Linked DNA regions of Callithrix jacchus. The protein of the gene in region 3 interacts with the protein of the main gene of each other region in a biochemical or structural test. Links are inferred from orthologs where the notes say so. Each region holds a gene or a part of one and is shown on either strand. Other genes may lie near its edges.

The links.
Region 1: the proteins of MAGI3 (region 3) and CRHR1 form a complex in vitro, tested with the Homo sapiens proteins (2 studies listed by BioGRID and IntAct, with this or other methods). The link is inferred for Callithrix jacchus from reciprocal best matches to the Homo sapiens genes MAGI3 and CRHR1.
Region 2: the proteins of MAGI3 (region 3) and ADRB1 interact in a test that uses a peptide from one of them, tested with the Homo sapiens proteins (2 studies listed by IntAct, with this or other methods). The link is inferred for Callithrix jacchus from reciprocal best matches to the Homo sapiens genes MAGI3 and ADRB1.

What each region holds. Positions count from the first base shown.
Region 1 is NC_133506.1:86,534,964-86,539,058, forward strand, and holds the start of CRHR1 (corticotropin-releasing factor receptor 1), read left to right. Parts: upstream 1-1,291; 5' UTR 1,292-1,584; coding exon 1,585-1,617; intron 1,618-4,095.
Region 2 is NC_133513.1:106,982,673-106,986,974, forward strand, and holds the start of ADRB1 (beta-1 adrenergic receptor), read left to right. Parts: upstream 1-1,498; 5' UTR 1,499-1,767; coding exon 1,768-3,195; 3' UTR 3,196-4,302. UniProt on the Homo sapiens protein: Beta-adrenergic receptors mediate the catecholamine-induced activation of adenylate cyclase through the action of G proteins. This receptor binds epinephrine and norepinephrine with approximately equal affinity.
Region 3 is NC_133508.1:151,599,125-151,602,635, forward strand, and holds part of MAGI3 (membrane-associated guanylate kinase, WW and PDZ domain-containing protein 3), read left to right. Parts: intron 1-2,768; coding exon 2,769-3,374; intron 3,375-3,511.

The DNA of each region.
Region 1 (4,095 bases), on a different chromosome or scaffold from region 3:
CAGTGCACAGGATGCAGGGCAGGTGGGTTCAGTTTGATTTCAAAGCCGATTGCCCGCGCCTCAGGTGCTTTGGTGTACCCTATAAGGATTGCATAGGCCAGGCAGCCTAGGCTCTGCGGGTGAAGATTTCTCTACCTCCCAGTGACTCCTCTTCTCCCTTATCAGCTCTGATAGGAGAGAGGAAGAGGGAAGAGGACGTCAAAAGTTCTGTTCATCCGGAAGGGCTGGGAGTTACTTCCTGGGATGGGGAGCTCGTGAGCCAATCCAGAAGACGACCACGGGGTCTGGCGGGAGCCCCAACGCTGCCCTGAAGACTCGGCCGGGAGGGGGCGCTGTGGCCTCCCCACCCCCAGCCCGCAGGCTCCTAGCCGGGTTCGCCGCGCTGCAACGCAATCCGCACCTGGCTTTACCCAGGGCTGCGTTCAGTGCCCACTTGTCCTGCAGGGCACCGCCGTCTCCCTTTCATCTTGGGGCTCCCGGGTCCAAAAGGTTCCCAGATCCAGCCCCTTGCCTGAACCAAAGTGGGCAGGCACTCAGATTGTAAGATGAACGAATGAACGAAGGAACGAACTAATGAATAAGGGCTCATCCTGCAGAACGTTCGCGTCTCAGCGCGCACTAGGCACGTCAATGCCAAAGGTGCTGGGAGTCGGGCTCGGAGCCCGGCGCGGCTGGAGTGGGGGCGGCGAGGAGCTCCCGCTAGCCAGCTGCAGGGCGGGAACTGCCCAAACGCAGGTCGCAGCTTCCCCGGGTTCTGCGGCGGCTTCGCTCAGTGGGGACCGCCCTGTTCCACCGCCACCAATAGCCTCGCCCTCATAAATTCACCTGAGCACCCCCGCCCAAGTGCCCCCGGCTCCCCTGGACTTCCCAGGCCCGGACCTCTGCCCGGCGGGAGGTAGGAGGCTGCATCCTCTCCTGCCACCCCCTCGCCCATCCCGGGCTTCTCCCCGGGCTGCGGCGGCCGCCACCGCCGCAAGCACGCCCGGAGGACTGCCGCAAACCCGGGCGTAGGGAAAGGGGATCCTGGCGGCGGGGCGCAGGCGGCGGGCCAGGGGAAGAGGAGGGAGCGGGGAAGGAGCCGAGGGGCGAGGGGCAGGGAGGGAGCCGAGGGGCGAGGCGCGGAGGAGGGACCGAAGGGGAGGAGAGAGGAGGGGAGGGGAGAGGGAGAGGGAGAGGGAGAGGGAGAGGGAGAGGGAGAGGGAGAGGGAGAGGGAGAGGGAGAGGCGGGGGGGAGGGGGAGGGGAAAGGGGAGGGAGGGGACAAGCTGGGCGAGGGGGCGGGGAGCCAAGGCGAGGAGCCGCGCGGACCTTGCGGGAGGCGGCAGGGGCTAGGCTGGCAAGAAGCGGCCTCCCGCCGGGCTGAGTCGGGAAACGGCGGCCAGACTTCCCCGGGAAGGGGCGAGCGAGAGCCGGCCGGGCCGGGCTGCGGGGACGGGGAGCGCGGAACCGGGCGCCTCCTCACGGGGCAGCCACCGAGGAGTCCGGCCGCCCACCGCGTGCTGCCCGAGCCCGCAGCAGCCCGCCGGCCCCTCTGGGATGCCTGGGGGACCCGGGCGTTCAGGACAGTAACCGAGCGAGCCGGAGGATGGGACGGCACCCGCAGCTCCGGCTTGTCAAGGTAAGAGCCCGCCGGCCCGCCCTCCAGCGCGAGCGCCCCCAGCCCCGGGCAGACGCGGGACAGGCCGGGCTGTGGGTGCGATGGAGGAGGGGGCGCCAGGAGAGCGGCAGTCAGGTCGGGGAAGGCTGGGCTCTGGGGCAGCCTAACTCTCTGGACCTTTGGAGCCAGGGTTTGGTGGGCAGGGGGAGACTCAGGTGAGAAAAGAAATCGTGGCTGAGCCGCCGGGATGTTGGCGGAGGAGGGGTCTGCCCACTCGGGTAGCCGTTTCCGCGCCAAGAATCGCTCTAGGCTTTGGGGCAGACGCTGGGTTCCGCCTCCCACGCCCTCCCTGCAGACCCCGGCCCCAGGACGGGAGGCTCTGAAGCGGGGTTCCCCGCCTCGCCCCAGCACCTTCTCATAGCTCCCCGACTCCGCCCGCCCCCGCCCCAGTCCCGGGAGCGCATCCTGCTCCTTCTCCTCGGCTGCAAGCTGCGAGTCCAGGGAGATTAATGCGGCCCGCGCCTGCGAACCCTTGATCAATATCGCAGTCTCGGGGGAGGGGACCGTGCCTCCGGCGGCGGTTACCATTCCCTCGCCGCGGCCCGGGAGCGCAACACTCGCTCTCCGAGCCTGGGCACCGAGATCCCCGCGCTGCGCAGCCTACCCTGCGACGCGGATCGGTCGCTGGAGTTTAGGAAAGTCGCCAGACCTTACGTCCAGCGTCTGCCCGCTGAACTTCGTGGGCGGCGGGGGCGGCCCAAGGGCCGTGTGCGCCCGGGAAGGGCCGGGAGGCCGGCAGTCCGGCCCGCCCCTAGTGCCAGGCGTCACTTGCAGCCCCGAGCGCTTTCCACAGCGTTCTGGTCTTGCAAGGTGTAGGCGCGCCCGCTGCAGCCGGCCGGAGGGGCGGGTGGGCCTCTGCGCGGCTGCCGGGAAACCCCGTGCCGCACCCGCCTGGGCACGGCCTCGCCCGGGGCTCGGGATCCCTCAGGGTCCGCTTCAGCCACAGACGTAGACGCCAGCCTGACCCGGTTCGGGGCATTCAAAGCGATTACATTAAAGAGACTTTGGTGGATTTGGGGGAGGGGTGCGGATTGGCGGAATTTCATTTTTCCATCAGTTATTAAACCAACTGTACGTATAGCGGCTTACCAAGTGGTTTGAGTTAAAGCACCAAGATTTTTTAATGAGACGTTACAAGTTACTGAGATTTTTCTCTAATCCTGCCCCTCCCCAGATATTTATAAGTTGATTCTTGAAATGACTGAGGGTTGGTCTCATTGAACCCACATCCCCTCCCCTGTCTGTTACCTGAGGGCTAGAGATGAACTCAGAGATTATTTTCTGGGCGTTCAAGGAGACAGACGGATGAGGAAGGTGAAGAAAAACATCCAGAGAGGTCGAATAGGTGGCACTGAATGGGAATATTTTCCAAAAGTCTTGTGTGTATCGAAGCCTGGTCTAAATGCACAAACCAGTTAGACCAAATTCAGTCTTTTGAACGGATTCAAAGGATTGAAATGTGGGTGTTTTTGTTTTTTTTTTTTTTCCAGTTTACACTGAAATAGATCAATGTTCTTTTTCTGGCCTTCTTTAGAGTTGTGTGCAAATCTCTGTTTAGAATGATCATGTTTTTCTTTAAAAAAAAAAAAAGGGGAGTCTTTTTATTTCTGTTATTCCTACCAGATAGTGGGGTGTGTGCTCTTTATGACTGGCCTAATAAACTCAGTCAGCACTCAGTAAATACCAAATGAATGAGGCTGAGCCAGGGAATGGCCAGCGAATGCTGGTTTCAAAGCTGGTTTCTATTAAATAGTTGCTTTTTTCTTTTACTTATGTAGCATGTACAATTCACTGGGCATTATTCTACCTGCTTTGCAAATATTAAGTCATTGAGTCCTCCTAACAGCCCTAGAAAGTAGGAATTATTCCTGAGACACAGAGAGGCTAAGTAACTGGTTCAGGGTCACAGAGCCAGTGAATAGTGAAGTCAGAATTCAAACCTGGGCACTCTGATATAAGGCTTTGTTTTGTTTGCTTTTACCAGAAAATATCTTTTTTTTTTTCTTTTTTTTGGGATAGGGTCTCACTCTGTCACCCAGGTTGGAGTGCAGTGGTGTGATCTCAGCTCACTGAAGCCTCAACCTCCCTGGGCTCCAGTAATCCTCCCACCTCAACCTCCAGAATAGCTGGAACCATAGGCATGCACCACCACACCCAGCTAATTTTTGTATTTTTTATAGAAGTGGGGTTTCACCATATTGCCCAGGCTGGTCTCCAAACTCCTGGGCTCAAGCGATCAGCCAACCTCGGACTCCCAAAATTCTAGGATTACAGACGCGAGCCACTGTGCCCAGCCATTACCAGAAAATATGTTAAGCCCCTTAAACCTCACCCTAGATCTTAGCCAGATGAGAGCCCAGGTAGTTTTGCCAGCATGAGAGTATAAATCTAGGGACTTAGTGTTCATCCCAAATCCAGCGCTGTCCCCAGCAAGTCAGC
Region 2 (4,302 bases), on a different chromosome or scaffold from region 3:
TTATATAACATTTTCATGCACCCTTACATAAACAATTAGAAGCTGTTTACTTCTCAAGGACCCAATTAAAGATATTTTGTTTTTCGAGCCTGAACTGAGGACACTACAGGGGCCAAATGAGAGAAGGGGCTTGCAGTCCTGCCGCACTGAATATTCATGGCTGTGCCCCCACCCCAATATAATCCATTTCGCCAGGTTAACAACTCACTCATTTCAAAGCGATTCATTTGCCAACTCAAAAAAACACAGATACAACTTTAAATGCTTTCGGATTTTAATCCTCTGGAGTATTTATATGTGTTCTTGTCTCATCCCTCCAAAACTAATCCCAGAGTTTTGAGAATCTGGGAACTTGGGAAAAGGAGAAAACAAGCAGCAGACCAAGGAATCTGAAATGGTAGTTCATGACGTCAGCCGAAACTGACAGTACCTTTGTGTTGGTACTGACCTAGCTCAAATTACAAAATCACAAGAGTAATAAAACACAAAATACAGGTGTTATCACTGACAAGTCTAAAATGTAATTAAGCATGTTTTTTTTCCCCTCGCAGTCGTACCGTTTGCTCTGTATCTCAACGTTTCTGTCTCCCTAAGCCTCTCCCTTTATCATGAGCACACACCGTTGCATCTTGCTCACACATTCATTAGCTGGGACTGAGGAGTGAATACGATGCCAGCGGGTCCTCAGCGTTAGCTGTTAGATGCACAAACCTTCGCATCCTTTCCACTTCCACTGCACTTGAGGTTCAACAGAAGATCCCTGCAAGAACAGCGCCCAGAGAGCATTCTGAACAGATGCGCCCTTGGCTCCAGCAACCCGCTCTGCTGGGAAGTTTCCTCTAACCACTAACACCCACCTCTGATCCCCCAAGCTGTCACGACACAGGCTGGCTGGGTCGCCTCTTGACGGGGGAAGGGTTTTACACACACCCTGCTAGGCTGCCCCATGCCACAACCAAGCTCGCAGGGCAAACTCCTTCATGCCCGGCGGGCAAGCAGTCCCAGGCGCTCTGGCGCTTCCAGAACACCAAGGTCCCCTCCTCGCTCCAAGGAGCGAGCGCTCTCTGCCGCAGGGAACCCCCAGGACTGCAGGTCGAGGGGATGCTGGGGAAGCAGGGGCGCAGGAGGGAGCCTGGCGCGGGAGGCAAACGGGGCGCAGCAGCGGCTGCGGGAGCACTTGGGGGCCGCGGGAGGGGGCGGGGCCCCTCGGGGGAGCCGGGCGCGGGAGGGGGTGCGCGGAACAGGGACCTGGAACCAGCGGGCGCAGGAAGGGGCGCGTCCGCAGGAACCCGCGGGCCGCACGGGAGGCACTAGCTCCGCGATCAGCTCCGGACTCTCAGGAGCGGCTCAATTGCCAACTGGAGTGGGGTGCGGGGAGTTGGGGGGGGCAGACCCGACGGGGGCGTGCCTTTGCCCCGATTGGCTACAGGAACCTGACGCGAGGCCCCGGGGGTTGGCTTGGGGAGGTGGGAGCGGGGTGGGGTGGGTGCTGGGTGCCGGAGCTGCGGGCCCGGCGCGCTCAGAAACATGCTGAGGTCCCGGCGGCTCTTCCAGCAGCGGCAGCGGCGGCGGCGGCGGCGGCGACAGCGACAGCGCTCGGATCCGGCGGGAAAGGCGCCCGGCGCCCATGCCTCCGGCCCCGCGCCGTGGCTGTCCTGACCCGGCCGCGACCTCCCTCGGCGCACCCCGCCGCCCGGGCTCCTGGGGTGTTCCCTAGCCACTGCCCAGCCCCGCCACACCCACCGCCCCCGGCCTCCGCAGCTCGGCATGGGCGCGGGGGCGCTCGTCCTGGGCGCCTCCGATCCCGCCAACCTGTCGTCGGCTGCGCCGCTCCCCGACGGCGCGGCCACTGCGGCGCGGTTGCTGGTGCCCGCGTCGCCGCCCGCCTCGCTGCTGCCTCCCGCCAGCGAAGGCCTCGAGCCGCTGTCGCAGCAGTGGACGGCGGGTATGGGCCTGCTGATGGCGCTTATCGTGCTGCTCATCGTGGCGGGCAACGTGCTGGTGATTGTGGCCATCGCCAAGACGCCGCGGCTGCAGACGCTCACCAACCTCTTCATCATGTCCTTGGCCAGCGCCGACCTGGTCATGGGGCTGCTGGTGGTGCCGTTCGGGGCCACCATCGTGGTGTGGGGCGGCTGGGAGTACGGCTCCTTCTTCTGCGAGCTGTGGACCTCGGTAGACGTGCTGTGCGTGACGGCCAGCATCGAGACCCTGTGTGTCATCGCCCTGGACCGCTACCTCGCCATCACGTCGCCCTTCCGCTACCAGAGCCTGCTGACGCGCGCGCGGGCAAGGGGCCTCGTGTGCACCGTGTGGGCCATCTCGGCGCTGGTGTCCTTCTTGCCCATCCTCATGCACTGGTGGCGGGCGGAGAGCGACGAGGCGCGCCGCTGCTACAACGACCCCAAGTGCTGCGACTTCGTCACCAACCGGGCCTACGCCATCGCCTCGTCCGTGGTCTCCTTCTACGTGCCCCTATGCATCATGGCCTTCGTGTACCTGCGGGTGTTCCGCGAGGCCCAGAAGCAGGTGAAGAAGATCGACAGCTGCGAGCGCCGGTTCCTCGGCGGCCCGGAGCGGCCGCCCTCACCCGCCCCCGCGCCCGCGCCGCCGTCAGCGCCAGGACCCCCGCGCCCCAACGCCGCCGCCGCCGCCGCCCCCCTGGCCAACGGGCGCGCGGGCAAGCGGCGGCCCTCGCGCCTCGTGGCCCTGCGCGAGCAGAAGGCGCTCAAGACGCTGGGCATCATCATGGGAGTGTTCACGCTCTGCTGGCTGCCCTTCTTCCTGGCCAACGTGGTGAAGGCCTTCCACCGCGAGCTGGTGCCTGATCGCCTCTTCGTCTTCTTCAACTGGCTGGGCTACGCCAACTCGGCCTTCAACCCCATCATATACTGCCGCAGCCCGGACTTCCGCAAGGCCTTCCAGCGCCTGCTCCGCTGCGCGCGCAGGGCCGCCAGCCGGCGCCACGCGGCCCACGGGGACCGGCCGCGCGCCTCGGGCTGCCTGGCCCGGCCCGGTCCTCCGCCGTCGCCCGGGGCCGCGTCGGACGACGACGACGACGATGTCGTCGGGGCCACGCCGCCCGCGCGCCTGCTGGAGCCCTGGGCCGGCTGCAACGGCGGGGCGGCGGCGGACAGCGACTCGAGCCTGGACGAGCCGTGCCGCCCCGGCTTCGCCTCGGAATCCAAGGTGTAGGGGCCCGGCGCCCCGGAACGGCTTCCCGGGGGATCTCGGAGATCTGTGTTTACTCAAGACCGAAAGCAGGTGAACTCGAAGCCCACAAACCTCGTCTGAATCATCCAAGGCAAACAGAAAAGCCACGGACCGTTGCACAAAAAGGAAAGTTTGGGGAGGGGTGGGAGAGTGGCTTGCTGATGTTCCTTGGGTTGTTTTCCTTCTTCTTCTGTTTGTGGTCCGGCCTTCTTTTGTGTGTGCCTGTGATGCATCTTTAGATTTTTCCCCCCAGGTGGTTTTTGACTCCACGAGGATGGGAGTGGAAGCTGGGTGGGCAGGGGAAGGGAGAAGAAGCATTAGGAGGGGATTAAAATCCGATCAACCTGGCTCCCGACCCTGTCCCAGGAACAGGGGCAGTCTACCAGCCAGAGAGAGGAGAATGACAGTTTATCAAGGCATATTTATTTCCTTTTGCTTTCCAGAGAAATTTCATTTTAATTCCTAAGTAATGGTTTCCGCTGTTATGAAAGCGAAAAGGATGGATGCAAAAAAAAAAAAAAAATCACGTTTCAAGAAATGTTAAGCTCTTCTTGGAACAAGCCCCAATTTGCTTTCCTTGTGTAGGGCAAACCCTCTGATCCCCCGCGCGCCTGGATGGTCAGGCTACGGGATTTCTACCTCACACTGTGCATTTGCACAGCAGATAGAAAGACTTGTTTATATTAAACAGCTTATTTATGTATCAATACTAGTTGGAAGGACCAGGCGCAGAGCCTCTCTCTGTGACATGTGACTCTTGTCAATTTAAGACAGGACATGAAAAGAGAGAGAGAGACAGTTTTGATTACTGCACATGTGGATAAAAACAAAAACAAAAAAAGGAGTGGTTCAAAATGCCATTTTTGCACAGTGTTAGGAATTACAAATTCCACAGAAAACATTACTTGCACAAAAAGAAGTTAAATATTTTTTAACTGGGGAAGTGGTGGGCAGATCTTAAAAACTAAAATAAAATTCAAGCTCTACTTCTGTTGTCTAGTATGTTATAGAGCTAATGATTTATTGGGAAAATACCTTTTTATACTCCTTTATCATGGTACTGTAACTGTATCCATATTATAAATATAA
Region 3 (3,511 bases):
CAATATTTCCATGAAAATTCTGGGAGCTTTAACACCAGATTGAGTTTTTTTAAAAGCCATCAGAACAAATTAAAGCACCCTTATTTAACCTTTTAAATAATCATATTCAAATAAAAGCAAATAGATGAGACAACAGGGGCCAAATTTTAAGTCAGGGCTTTATTAAAAGCTACCCAATTGATGACCATCAAGTGGTAATGATTCTGCAACCAAAACAGTCATACTAAATGTAAATCAGAAACGCAAAACCAGTTTTTATAGGGATTTATTAAGCTGACTTCTCAATGTCTTCAATAATGCATTGTTTGTGTCTGTTGAATTTTTTGTTATTTGTTTTGCCTTTTGAAATCTGATTTATAAATCAAATTCAAAATCTCTGCAAAAGAAGGATATTACAAGAAAATATATTCATAAATTAACATCATTCTGATCTTCAGCTCAGTATTTCTCAAACTAGAATGAAGTTTTAAAGTACATTGTAATCAGTGGCTTTTGTGGGTTGTTTTTGGTTTTGTTTTGAGACAGAGTCTCACTCTTGTTGCCCAGTTTGGAGTGCAATGACACAATCTCAGCTCACTGCAATGTCTGCCTACTGGGTTTGAGCAATTCACCTGCCTCCGCCTCCCGAGTAGCTGTGATTACAGGCACACACCACCACGCCTGGCCAATTTTTTTTTTTTTGAGACAGAGTTTTGCTCTTATTGCCCAGGCTGGAGTGCAGTAGCTCAGTCTTGGCTAACTGCAACCTCCTGCCTCGTGGGTTTAAGTGATTCTCCTGCCTCAGCCTTCTGAGTAGCTGGGATTACAGGTGCACATCACCACACCCAGCTAATTTTTTATATTTTTAGTAGAGATGGGGTTTCATCATGTTGGCCAGGCTAGTCTCGAACTCCTGACCTCAGGTGATCCACCAGCCTTGGCCTCCCAAAGTACAGGGATTACAGGTATGAGTCACCATGCCCAGCCTAATTTTTTAATATTTTAAAAATGTTAGCCAGGCTGGTCTCAAACTCCAGACCTCAGGTGATCCACCTGCCTCAGCCTCCCAAAGTGCTGGGATTACAGGCATGAGCCACTACATCCAGCCAATAGCTTCTTAAACTCAATAAATAAGGCGGTATTTAAAGATAGACTGTTTGACCCCATCAAAAAGTGGACAAAGGTTATGAACAGACACTTCTCAAAAGCCACATTTATGCAGCCAACAAACATGAAAAAAAAGCTCAATATGACTGATCATTAGAGAAATGCAAATAGAAACCACAGTGAGATATCATCTCATAGTAGTCAGAATGGCAATTATTAAAAATTCAAGATGCAATAAATACTGGCACGGCTGTGAAGAAACAGGAACACTTTTACACTGTTCGTGGGAGTATAAATTAGTTCAACGAATGTGGAAGACAGTGTGGCGATTCCTCAAGGATCTAGAATCAGAAGTACCATTTGACCCAGCAATCCCATTACTGGGTATATACCCAAAGGAATAGAAATCATTCTACTATAAAGTAATTCTGCCATAAATCATTCTACTATGCATGTACACACATGTTTATCGCAACACTATTAACAATAGCAAAGACAGGAACCAACCAAATGCCTGTCAATTATAGACTGTATCAGGAAAATGTGGTACATATACACCATGGAATACAATGCAGCCATAAAAAGAAATGAGATCATGTCCTTTGCAGGGACCTGGAAGAAGCTGGAAGCCATCATCCTCAGTAAATTAACACAGGAACAAAACTAAACACTGCATGTTCTCACGCATAAGTCGGAGTTGAACAATGAGAACACATGGACACAGGGAGGGGAACAACAAACACCAGGGCCAGTCAGGGGTTGGGTAGGCAATGGGAGAGAGAGCATTAGGACAAATAGCTAATGCATGTGGGGCTTAAAACCTAGATGACAGGTTGATAGGTGCAGCAAACCACTATGGCACATGTATACCTATGTAACAAACTACACATTCTCTACTTATATCCTGGAACTTAAGGTAAAATTAAAAAGAAAAAAAAAGGTATCAGGTGTGAAGGAGGATTTCTGGCTATAGAGACTTGACAGGATTCTTGCTGAATGCAGGTTAAGGTGGTCAGTAATCACCTGGAAGATGGTGCGGAATGAGGACGTAGATTATATATCAAGAATGGGTGATTTTGGCTAAATCAACTTAGCAGGATTCTTGCTAAAACTGGGCTTTGAAGGACATGCCAAGGATGAGGCCTAGTGAAAAAAGAGCTCAGAGGAGCCTGTCTAGAGTTTGGTTAAGGACAGCCTCTTTGTCAGTGTATGTATATATGCACAGATACACATATAGATACACATATATAAATAAAATTAGTTGATTCATAAGATAGAAGAAAGATAGACTGTACAAGTAGTCAGTGGAGTTACTTGCTCCTCTTCTGTGTACCAGATACCTGCTACAATGTGTCTAGCTTTGCATGGTCACTTAGATATGACTCAGAGGGTATACTAACAATGATAATATGAATTATCAGGATTTTTTTTTAATGATTCACTTGAGCTTGAAGTCAAAATTATTTTGCTACTAAAATAAGTAGGATTTTAGATACTTACACGTACATTTTAGAGAGGAATTAGAAAAGGTTTAATGTCTGTATTAGAAGTCTGTCTTTGCAGCAGTTAACAGTAAGATGTTTCAGATTTAGTTGCTAAATAGTAGTTATTTTTCCTCCTCTGGCAAAAAAAAAAACTTATTTGTTGATTTTAATATTTTTAACATGATTATGTTTTACCAGGTGATGTTATTGTAGACATCAATGGCAACTGTGTCCTCGGTCACACTCATGCAGATGTTGTCCAGATGTTTCAGTTGGTACCTGTCAATCAGTATGTAAACCTCACGTTATGTCGTGGTTATCCACTTCCTGATGACAGTGAAGATCCTGTTGTGGATATTGTTGCTGCTACCCCTGTCATCAATGGACAGTCACTAACAAAGGGAGAGACTTGCATGAATCCTCAGGATTTTAAGCCAGGAGCAATGGTTCTGGAGCAGAATGGAAAATCGGGACACACTTTGACTGGTGATGGTCTCAATGGACCATCAGAAACAAGTGAGCAGAGAGCATCCATGGCATCGTCAGGCAGCTCCCAGCCTGAACTACTGACTATCCCTTTGATTAAGGGCCCTAAAGGGTTTGGGTTTGCAATTGCTGACAGCCCTACTGGACAGAAGGTAAAAATGATATTGGATAGCCAGTGGTGTCAAGGCCTTCAGAAAGGAGATATAATTAAGGAAATTTACCATCAAAATGTGCAGAATTTAACACATCTTCAAGTGGTAGAGGTGCTAAAGCAGTTTCCAGTAGGTGCCGATGTACCATTGCTTATCTTAAGAGGAGGTAAGTAATAGCACAACATAGAAAAAGTTCCAGTGTTCAAGCATTTATATCTATTGATTGTCCTTCCTTACAGTTTAGAGGATCTTTTCCCTGCAGTCTTAGATAGTAATCAGTGCACATTTTCCTTAAGGTTCTGT